2 linked regions of the Callithrix jacchus genome follow. The protein of the gene in region 2 interacts with the protein of the main gene of each other region in a pairwise test. Links are inferred from orthologs where the notes say so. Each region holds a gene or a part of one and is shown on either strand. Other genes may lie near its edges.

What was found.
Region 1: the proteins of MCM10 (region 2) and CEP72 interact in a two-hybrid assay, tested with the Homo sapiens proteins (2 studies listed by BioGRID and IntAct). The two-hybrid records come from large-scale screens. The link is inferred for Callithrix jacchus from reciprocal best matches to the Homo sapiens genes MCM10 and CEP72.

Annotation. Positions count from the first base shown.
Region 1 is NC_133503.1:205,413,666-205,417,581, forward strand, and holds part of CEP72 (centrosomal protein of 72 kDa), read right to left. Parts: intron 3,303-3,916; coding exon 3,167-3,302; intron 2,028-3,166; coding exon 1,831-2,027; intron 1-1,830. UniProt on the Homo sapiens protein: Involved in the recruitment of key centrosomal proteins to the centrosome.
Region 2 is NC_133508.1:14,259,729-14,263,644, reverse strand, and holds part of MCM10 (protein MCM10 homolog), read right to left. Parts: intron 2,872-3,916; coding exon 2,727-2,871; intron 2,462-2,726; exon of another isoform or gene 2,111-2,461; coding exon 1,992-2,110; intron 1-1,991. UniProt on the Homo sapiens protein: Acts as a replication initiation factor that brings together the MCM2-7 helicase and the DNA polymerase alpha/primase complex in order to initiate DNA replication. Additionally, plays a role in preventing DNA damage during replication.

The sequences.
Region 1 (3,916 bases), on a different chromosome or scaffold from region 2:
GATGACAGGCATGTGCCACCACATGTGACTGATTTTTAATTTTGAAGCTGAGGCCAGGGCAGGTGCGGGGAACGGATGACCAGCTGCGCCCAGGCTGGGCACAGCACATATGCCTCAGAGGCTGTGCCCAACACGGCAGCTGGGAGTGGGGTCAACTGTACCCTAGGACACACCACTGCAGCTTCCACAGGAAGCACAGTTCACATGACTGAGGAATGAGCATCCCCGTGTTACAGAGTAAACTTGGGTGCTTCTGGAATGACAGATGCACCTCCCTGGAAGGCGGCGTCCACCCGACTGCCGCCTGCTCTCTCTTCAGGGTTCCTGCCCTTAGTGACTTCCAGATCACTCACCAGGGAACCAAGGCTGCTCTGTCCCGTGGCCCAGGGTTGCTCCGAGGGACAGGGTTGAACAAACAGCACAGGGTTAAAAAGCAGGCTGCCATGGTGGCCACAGCTGTATGTGACTCCCACCCCAGGCGGCCCTGGTGCTCAGCTCACCCTCGGGCTCCGTCTGTCAGCTCTGTGTGGTCCCAGGCACAGAAGGGCAGGGGGTGTGCCTGGATGCATCAGCAGTGATGGCACCCAGCTCACTTTCCAGACAGGGCCACGTGTGTTTAAAAGCAGAGGCTTCCAAATGGGGGGTAGGGGGTCACATGTTTTTCAATGCAGGGTTCTGTACAGGGAGCCATGTGTTTAAATGCAGAGGCTTCCAAATGAAGGCCACATAGGTTTAAAGGGAGACTTTTAGATGTGGAGGCCACGTGTGTTTAAACAGAGGCTTCTGGACGGGACGGGGCATGGGCCATGTGTGTTTAAATACAGAGGCTGCCTGTGCTGTTTCGCCAACTGTCCTTTTTCTTCTCTAAAGAGGAAGCATTGTGTGGGCTCTCTGAGATGTAGGTTCTCATAAAATAGACAGCATCTACCTGTCAGACAAGTTCAGAGGTGGTTTTCTCAGCTGTCCCACAGTGCCTTCACTCGTGGGGCCCTGCCTTCACCAGGACTCCTGGAGGGTGGCTTCTGTCTGGGCGTGGCTCTCTGACCACCACCTCCATGTCCTAAGGACTCCAGCAGCCCATAAGGAGGCCCGTGCAGCCTGGAGGGAGCCTGGGAGGATCCTGCCCATGAGGCCTCAGTGGAGACGGAGACGGAGACGGAGACGGACACACCTAACTGAGCTGAGCCTGAGGCCTGATCCACATAAATCCAAGCTGATAAAGGTGGGTTTTCAGTTGCTGGTTTTGGGGTAACTTGCCCTGTAGCCCCACCTCCCTGTGGGACACTGGCCGTCATCTCCTTCGTAAAAGGAGAGTGGGCTCAGGTGTCTCCAATTCAAGGCCCTGTAAGGCGGGCCAACAAGATAAAGTCAGGTCCAGGCCTGGCTCCCGCAGCACCCAGCACCGTGCGGCTCCCTTGGGCCCGGGGGAGGGGGCTGCTCAGCTTGGCACAGGCAGGGTAGCAGCAGGGAGCCTGTGATGGCCTGAAGCACTGGAGCCTCTCAGCAGGGGACTGGGGAGCCTGGGCCAGAGGACAGGGGCCTAAAGACCGTCTCCCGCTGGCGTTACCCCTGCCCACCTCCCCGGCCCAGCCCCTCCAAGGAAGGAAGGTGGCCAGCACTGCTGCTGCCCCCAAGGTGCTCTGGCCTGCTGTGAAACAGGGCCGGCAGTGATCCTGGGGGCGGCCGGGTCCTGGGCAGGGAGGGGAGATGAGGTGCTGCAGAGACGGCGGCTGGGGCAGTGGGGCGTCAAGGAGCAGCCCTCACTCCTGGAAGTCAAAGCCCATCTCCCCCAGTCACGTGGGCGCAGAAGCACCGCCAGGGCGGGCTCACCAGCTCCTTGCGTGTGCGGTGCAGCTCCGCCGTCACCTCGCTCATCTCCAGGGCGTGCTGCTGCCGCTGCTCCGCAAGGCGACTTTGCAGGGATTTGCTCTCCAGAGCCGGGGAGCCGACATCTTCACCCACCATCGCGGAGCCATCCTGGGCTACTGTGAGTTCTTCAACAGAGGACAAAATGCGTCTTGCCTGAGCTAGGAGTGAAAATCAAATCCTACGTCAGCACTGAGGCTTGGAGGGTGAACATAAAACCGGCTCAGTGTGTCCTGAATCACACAGAGGATGCCTTAAAAAGACGGCAGGCAGGGAGGGGGCGCCAGAAAACCACCTCAGGCTCTGCACGTCCACATAGGCAGGGTAGGAACTGAAGAAAGAGAAGAGGCGACCCCAAAAAAAGGCTGTGACGGGACGCCACGTCTCAAGGTTTCAATGGCGCCACCGCAACTCGCTATGCCTTCCACAAGCACCGACCGCCCTGCTGTGGAAACTACCACACAGAAGACAGCCGGCAACTCCACACTGTGACAGAGCCAGGGACAGTGCCACTGCCACTGACCACAGCAAGCTCAGGAGGCCCCTGCAGGACACTAGCCCAGGGAGAGGTGAGGACTGGGGTCTGGGGTCTGGATGGGCTGCATGGACACCAGCCGAGGGAGAGGGGAAGGGTCTACGGGGCTGAGGTCCAGGTGGGCTGAAACTGCAGGGCGTCCTCATTCTAGGAGCTGAGGGGCCACAACACTTCGAGGGGCGCTCAGACAGCTCAGAGCCACACCCAAGGTCTGCCGGGAGGAATAGGCTAGTGAGGTCAGGCTCCTGACGGATACGTACAGCCACACCCCAGGCTGTAGGAAAAAGAGAAGGTGCCACCGGGGACATGGCGCCTCCTGGTCTCCAAGTGTGACCCCAGATGAGGGAGACCCCAGCATGCTCCCACACAGGTCACCTGGAAGAATCAAACAGACCTGAGTCCTGTCTGCAGAGGGACTGCCCTCCTGGGCCCCATGCCAAGCAGAAGCTCAGCAAGGCAGGCCCAGCACAGGCTACACATGAACACCACCATCAGAACCAAATGCATCTGGACAGCATTTTGAGCAAAACAAGGTGACAGGAACCCCAACACCCAGAGCACATGGGGGACCCACAGGCCCAGGCCCACGTGGTGCCAAGAGGCATGGCGACTGTGAGAGGCAGATTGCCAGGAAGGCCCTGGTGCAGGACCACCACATGCACATGGGAAGGGCTAAGATGACTCCCAGGTCACCACATGCAGAGGACCCAGGATCCCACACAGATGTCGCCTGGAGGGCAAGAGCTGGCAGCCACCCTGACTCACCAAGGAATGCCTCGTTGCTGTGCAGAGACCTGCGGTCACCCCAGCTCCTGTCCACTAAGTTCACGAGCGTCTCCAGGAGCGCTGCCTGCAGGCCTGTGTTCTTCCCGGGTGGAGCTGAGTGGGACCTGGGAGATGGCTGGGATGGAAACAAAATCATAAGCCCTGTGAGTCGGTGTGGGAACTGAGGTCCTGAGGCCAGCAGGTGCCCCAAGAGCACCCTGTGACGTGCTCCTACCACAGAGGGGAAGTGAAGGCAGGTGCCAGGAGGCCCCAGTGCTGAGCCAGGTGGAGGACAGCTCAGCAGTGCTCGCCCATGGGGCTTAGCCAGGTGCGTCTGTCCTGGGTGAGTGAGATCTGGATGACCGACAGGACCTGCATGGTGAGTGAGGTTTGGATGACCGACAGGTCCTGGGTGAGTGAGATCTGGATGACCGACAGGACCTGCATGGTGAGTGAGGTTTGGATGACCGACAGGTCCTGGGTGAGTGAGGTCTGGATGACCGACAGGACCTGGGTGAGTGAGGTCTGGATGACCGACAGGTAGGTCCTGGGTGAGTGAGGTCTGGATGACCGACAGGTAGGACCTGGGTGAGTGAGGTCTGGATGACCGACAGGTCCTGGGTGAGTGAGGTCTGGATGACCGACAGGTAGGTCCTGGGTGAGTGAGGTCTGGATGACCGACAGGTAGGTCCTGGGTGAGTGAGGTCTGGATGACCGACAGGTAGGTCCTGCGTGAGTGAGGTCTGGATG
Region 2 (3,916 bases):
CCTCCCAAAGTGCTAGGATTATAGGTGTGAGCCACTGTGCCTGGCCCATTTGGTAATTTTTAAAACACCAAATACAAATAAGCACTCCTAATACGACAGCATCATTACACCAAGTGTGTGCCCAAGGGCAGTTATTTCTACTGTTCTAATATAGGCTCCATAACACAAGGGACTCCGGGCCCCCACTGGCGAGTTTCCTTGGTACACGGAATGTCAGGGAACAGCCCTGAGGGCAGAGATGCTTGTGGCAGAATGTGCGTGCAGCGATGGGGTTAGCGCTGCTCCACAGGCAGGAGGGCCCTGGGCCTCGGGTGCCACAGAAGCAACGAGCTCAGCTCTGCAGCTGCAGAGGCACTGCTGGCATCTCTCCTGAGTTTCAAGTTCAGTGAAACGATACCATGCAGAGCTGTTTTGTTAGTTATTTGTTAATCAAAGGAAGAGCAGATCATCTGGAGTAGTGATACAGAATGGCGATTATTTTTTAAATTGGTGGGAGCACTTTGTGTTATCATAATGATTGCTACCTCTGCGGTTGGCAGCGACCAGGGGTGCTGAACTGTCTGCAATACATGGGACAGTCACCGACACAACTAAGGACTGCTTCTCATCCTGCCTGGCTTCTGTGTGCTCTGAGACAAATGTGTGAGTGGGGAACCTGATTAAAACCCTAGAACCTAACTGCTTTCTACACAACTCTACAATATTTGTGCATGCTTTTAACACGTGTTGGCTATTGTAAGAGTAAAAGTAGATTCCCGTGTATACTGAGGGACAATGGTACTGTGGTTTCTCGGGATTGTTTACTTAAAACACATATACACACACACTCTATCTCTCTCTCCTCTCCAACCTGGGCAACATAGATAAACCAGACCTTGTCTCAAAAAAACACCCCCACCCCCTGAAAAGTACATTATCTATTCCTAGCTACTCAGGAGGCTGAGGTATGAGAATTGCTTGAGCCCAGGATTCAAGACCAGTTTGGGGAACATACAGAGACCCTGTCTGAACACTCCTCCCATCCCTGACAAAAATCCCCACATTATCAAAGAAACATTTCTGAGTCTCCATTTCTGGCTCATTTATACTAATAAATCCAAGCCTCTCACCACTTTATCTCCCCTCAGCTAGTTCTGCCTATGCATTTACAAATCCATAATGCAATCTCTACCTTTATCTTAAATATCTTTACTTTTTCTTCTTTGCATTAGGATATTAATTTTTCAAAATGACTAGTATAGGTAATTCATATTATCCATGAATTTTATTTCAAGATAAGAAAGCAATACAAACACCTGTTACTAAAAAGAGCCTCCAGCATGAGTTAAGCCCGGCTTTGGAGCATCTGATATGCAGATATAAAATCCTGGATGGGAAGACTCTCTTTGCATATTGCAAGGCAGAAAACAGCAACAGTTTAGAACCATTTAAACATCACTTCACAGCCATAACCAAGTGCAAACATTTTTATAATACTGATATCTATTTAAGTCATGTTAAGTCAAATGATATTCTTCAGTAAAGGGTCAAAGCCAAGGCTAAAATCTATTCGAAATTATCCTGTTCTTCAAAGCAAACTCAAACAAACGGACACATACCTACTTCTAGAATTATGTAAAAAGCAGATTCTTGGCTGGGCATGGTAGCTCATGCCTGTAATCCCAGGACTTTGGGAGGCCAAGGCGGGAGGATCACTTGAGGTCTGGGGTTAGAGACCAGCTTGGCCAACATGGGGAAACTCTGCCTCTACTAAAAATACAAACATTTGCTTGGTATGGTGGCGGATGCCTGTAATTCTAGCTACTGGGGAGGCTGAGGCAGAAGAATCGCTTGAACCTAGGTGGTGGAAGTTGCAGTGAGCCAAGACTGCACCACTGTACTGAGACTCTGTCTCAAAACAAAACAAACAGCAGATTCTGGTCCTACAGCTGGCACCTTGGCTTTGAAGGACACCGGACATCAACACCATCCTTGAGCTTTTGGGATCTTACCTGTTTCAGGATGCCTGTGTGTTTTGATTTTGCTTTGAGGATTTTCTGAAATTCCTCAGATTCCAGGTAGGCAAGTTGTTCTCTCCTTTTTTTCCTGGCAGGTTCTAATTCAACCTCAGCTAGAGCAGAAGGAACAAGCATCAGCAGTGACCAAGAAATTGCAGAAAGCCAGCGTGCCTCGTCGACTCCACTCCCTTCCACTCCCCCTTCCTCTGCCTACCAGCCCTTCAAACGCGACCTACCCCAGCTGGCCCCAGCAGAGGAAGGGCTCAGAGGTGAGCCAAGAAGCTGAACATAGAATGTGGGTGGTGGCAGATTTGGCCACTAAATTAGAATCTCTTTTTCACCTTCAAATAGGCAGCTGACTATCATAATAGATAATAGCAATGTTAAATATGTTGACAATGATGTTAACATGATATTGCCTACTTCGGAGTTTTAAAAATAAAGACAGGGCAATTTAAAACAAAGGAATTTGAGTCCTGTCAAAGCAAACCTTTACATTAATATATGTACAAAGATCCTATTCCCAAGTATTCGAATTATGTCTAATTTCATTCCAATTTAAAGTGATTATAAAAAAAATCAGTTCCACCCATAGAAATTCTATTTAGGTATTCTTTATAGGAGGAAATTGAAGTAACTGCTTGATATCTGGGTGCTGGTTTGGGTTTAGAACGTATTTCCCTTAGAAACAGTTTCTGTTTTCCACTGTTAACTGTGAAACTGCAGTACCTGGAGAAGAAAACATGGCGTTCTTTTCTACACGTTCCTTCACCTCCAGGACGGCCTGAGGGTCCTTTTGCTTCTTCTTAATGCCATTTGGGTTTGTTTTTGTAAGGATCTGGCCTTTTGCCCTTAATTTGGTGATAGCAGCTAACTAGAAAAAAAGAGAAGAGAGGGAGGTAAAGATCTGAAAGATGACAGAGGCGCTTAAGACCTGGACCTCTTTTTTGTTATTAACGAGTGAATTCTGGCTGTCCTCCAAGAGAAACTGGCAAAACATATCTTAATTTTCCTTGGTATTATTACCAAAATTACTAGACTGTAATAGCATGGGAGACAGGTCTACATGCTGATGAGTAAGTCTCAGTTTATTTAAAATATAACAAGTGTGACATCAGCGAGACTGCAGGCTTCCAGATCCAGGAAGGAGCCACATCACCATTTTGTAAGTTTTAGAATCAGAGAGAATTAGGATGGAATTCCATCCAGCTCTGCCATGGACTAGCTTGTAACCCGAGGCAAGTTATATAATTTCTCATTTATAAAACGGAAATGGGGCTGGGCACGGTGGCTCATTGTAAACCCAGCACTTTGGGAGGCTGAGGCAGGCAGGCTACTTGAGCTCAGGAGTTCAAGACCAGCCTGAGAAAAAAACATAGCGAGACTTCATCACTACAAAAAATACAAAAATTAGCTGCGTATGGTAGTGCATGCCTGCAGTACCAGCTACTCAGGGGGCTGAGCTGGGAGGATCACCTGAGCCCTGGGAGGTGGAGGCTTCAGTGAGCTGTCACTGTACCACTGCATACCAGCCTGGGAGACAGGGTAAGACCCTGTCTCAAAACAAAACAAAAGAAGGAAATGATGATATAGTATTGACCTACCTTTGAAGGTCATGGTGGTGTGGATGAAATAAGATGTCTGCAAAGTATGAATCTGTACATAGTAAATACATTTCTGGCTGAGTGTAGTGACTCATGCCTGTAATCCCAGCAGTTTGGGAGGCTGAGGCAGGGGGATCACTCGAGGTCAGGAGTTTGAGACCAGTCTGGCTAATATAGTGAAACCCTGTCTCTACTAAAAATACAAAACTTAGTCGGGCATGGTGGCAGGCACCTGTATTCCCAGCTACTCGGGAGGCTGAGGCAGGAGAACTGATTGAACCTAGGAGGTGGAGGCTGCAGTGCGACGAGATTGTA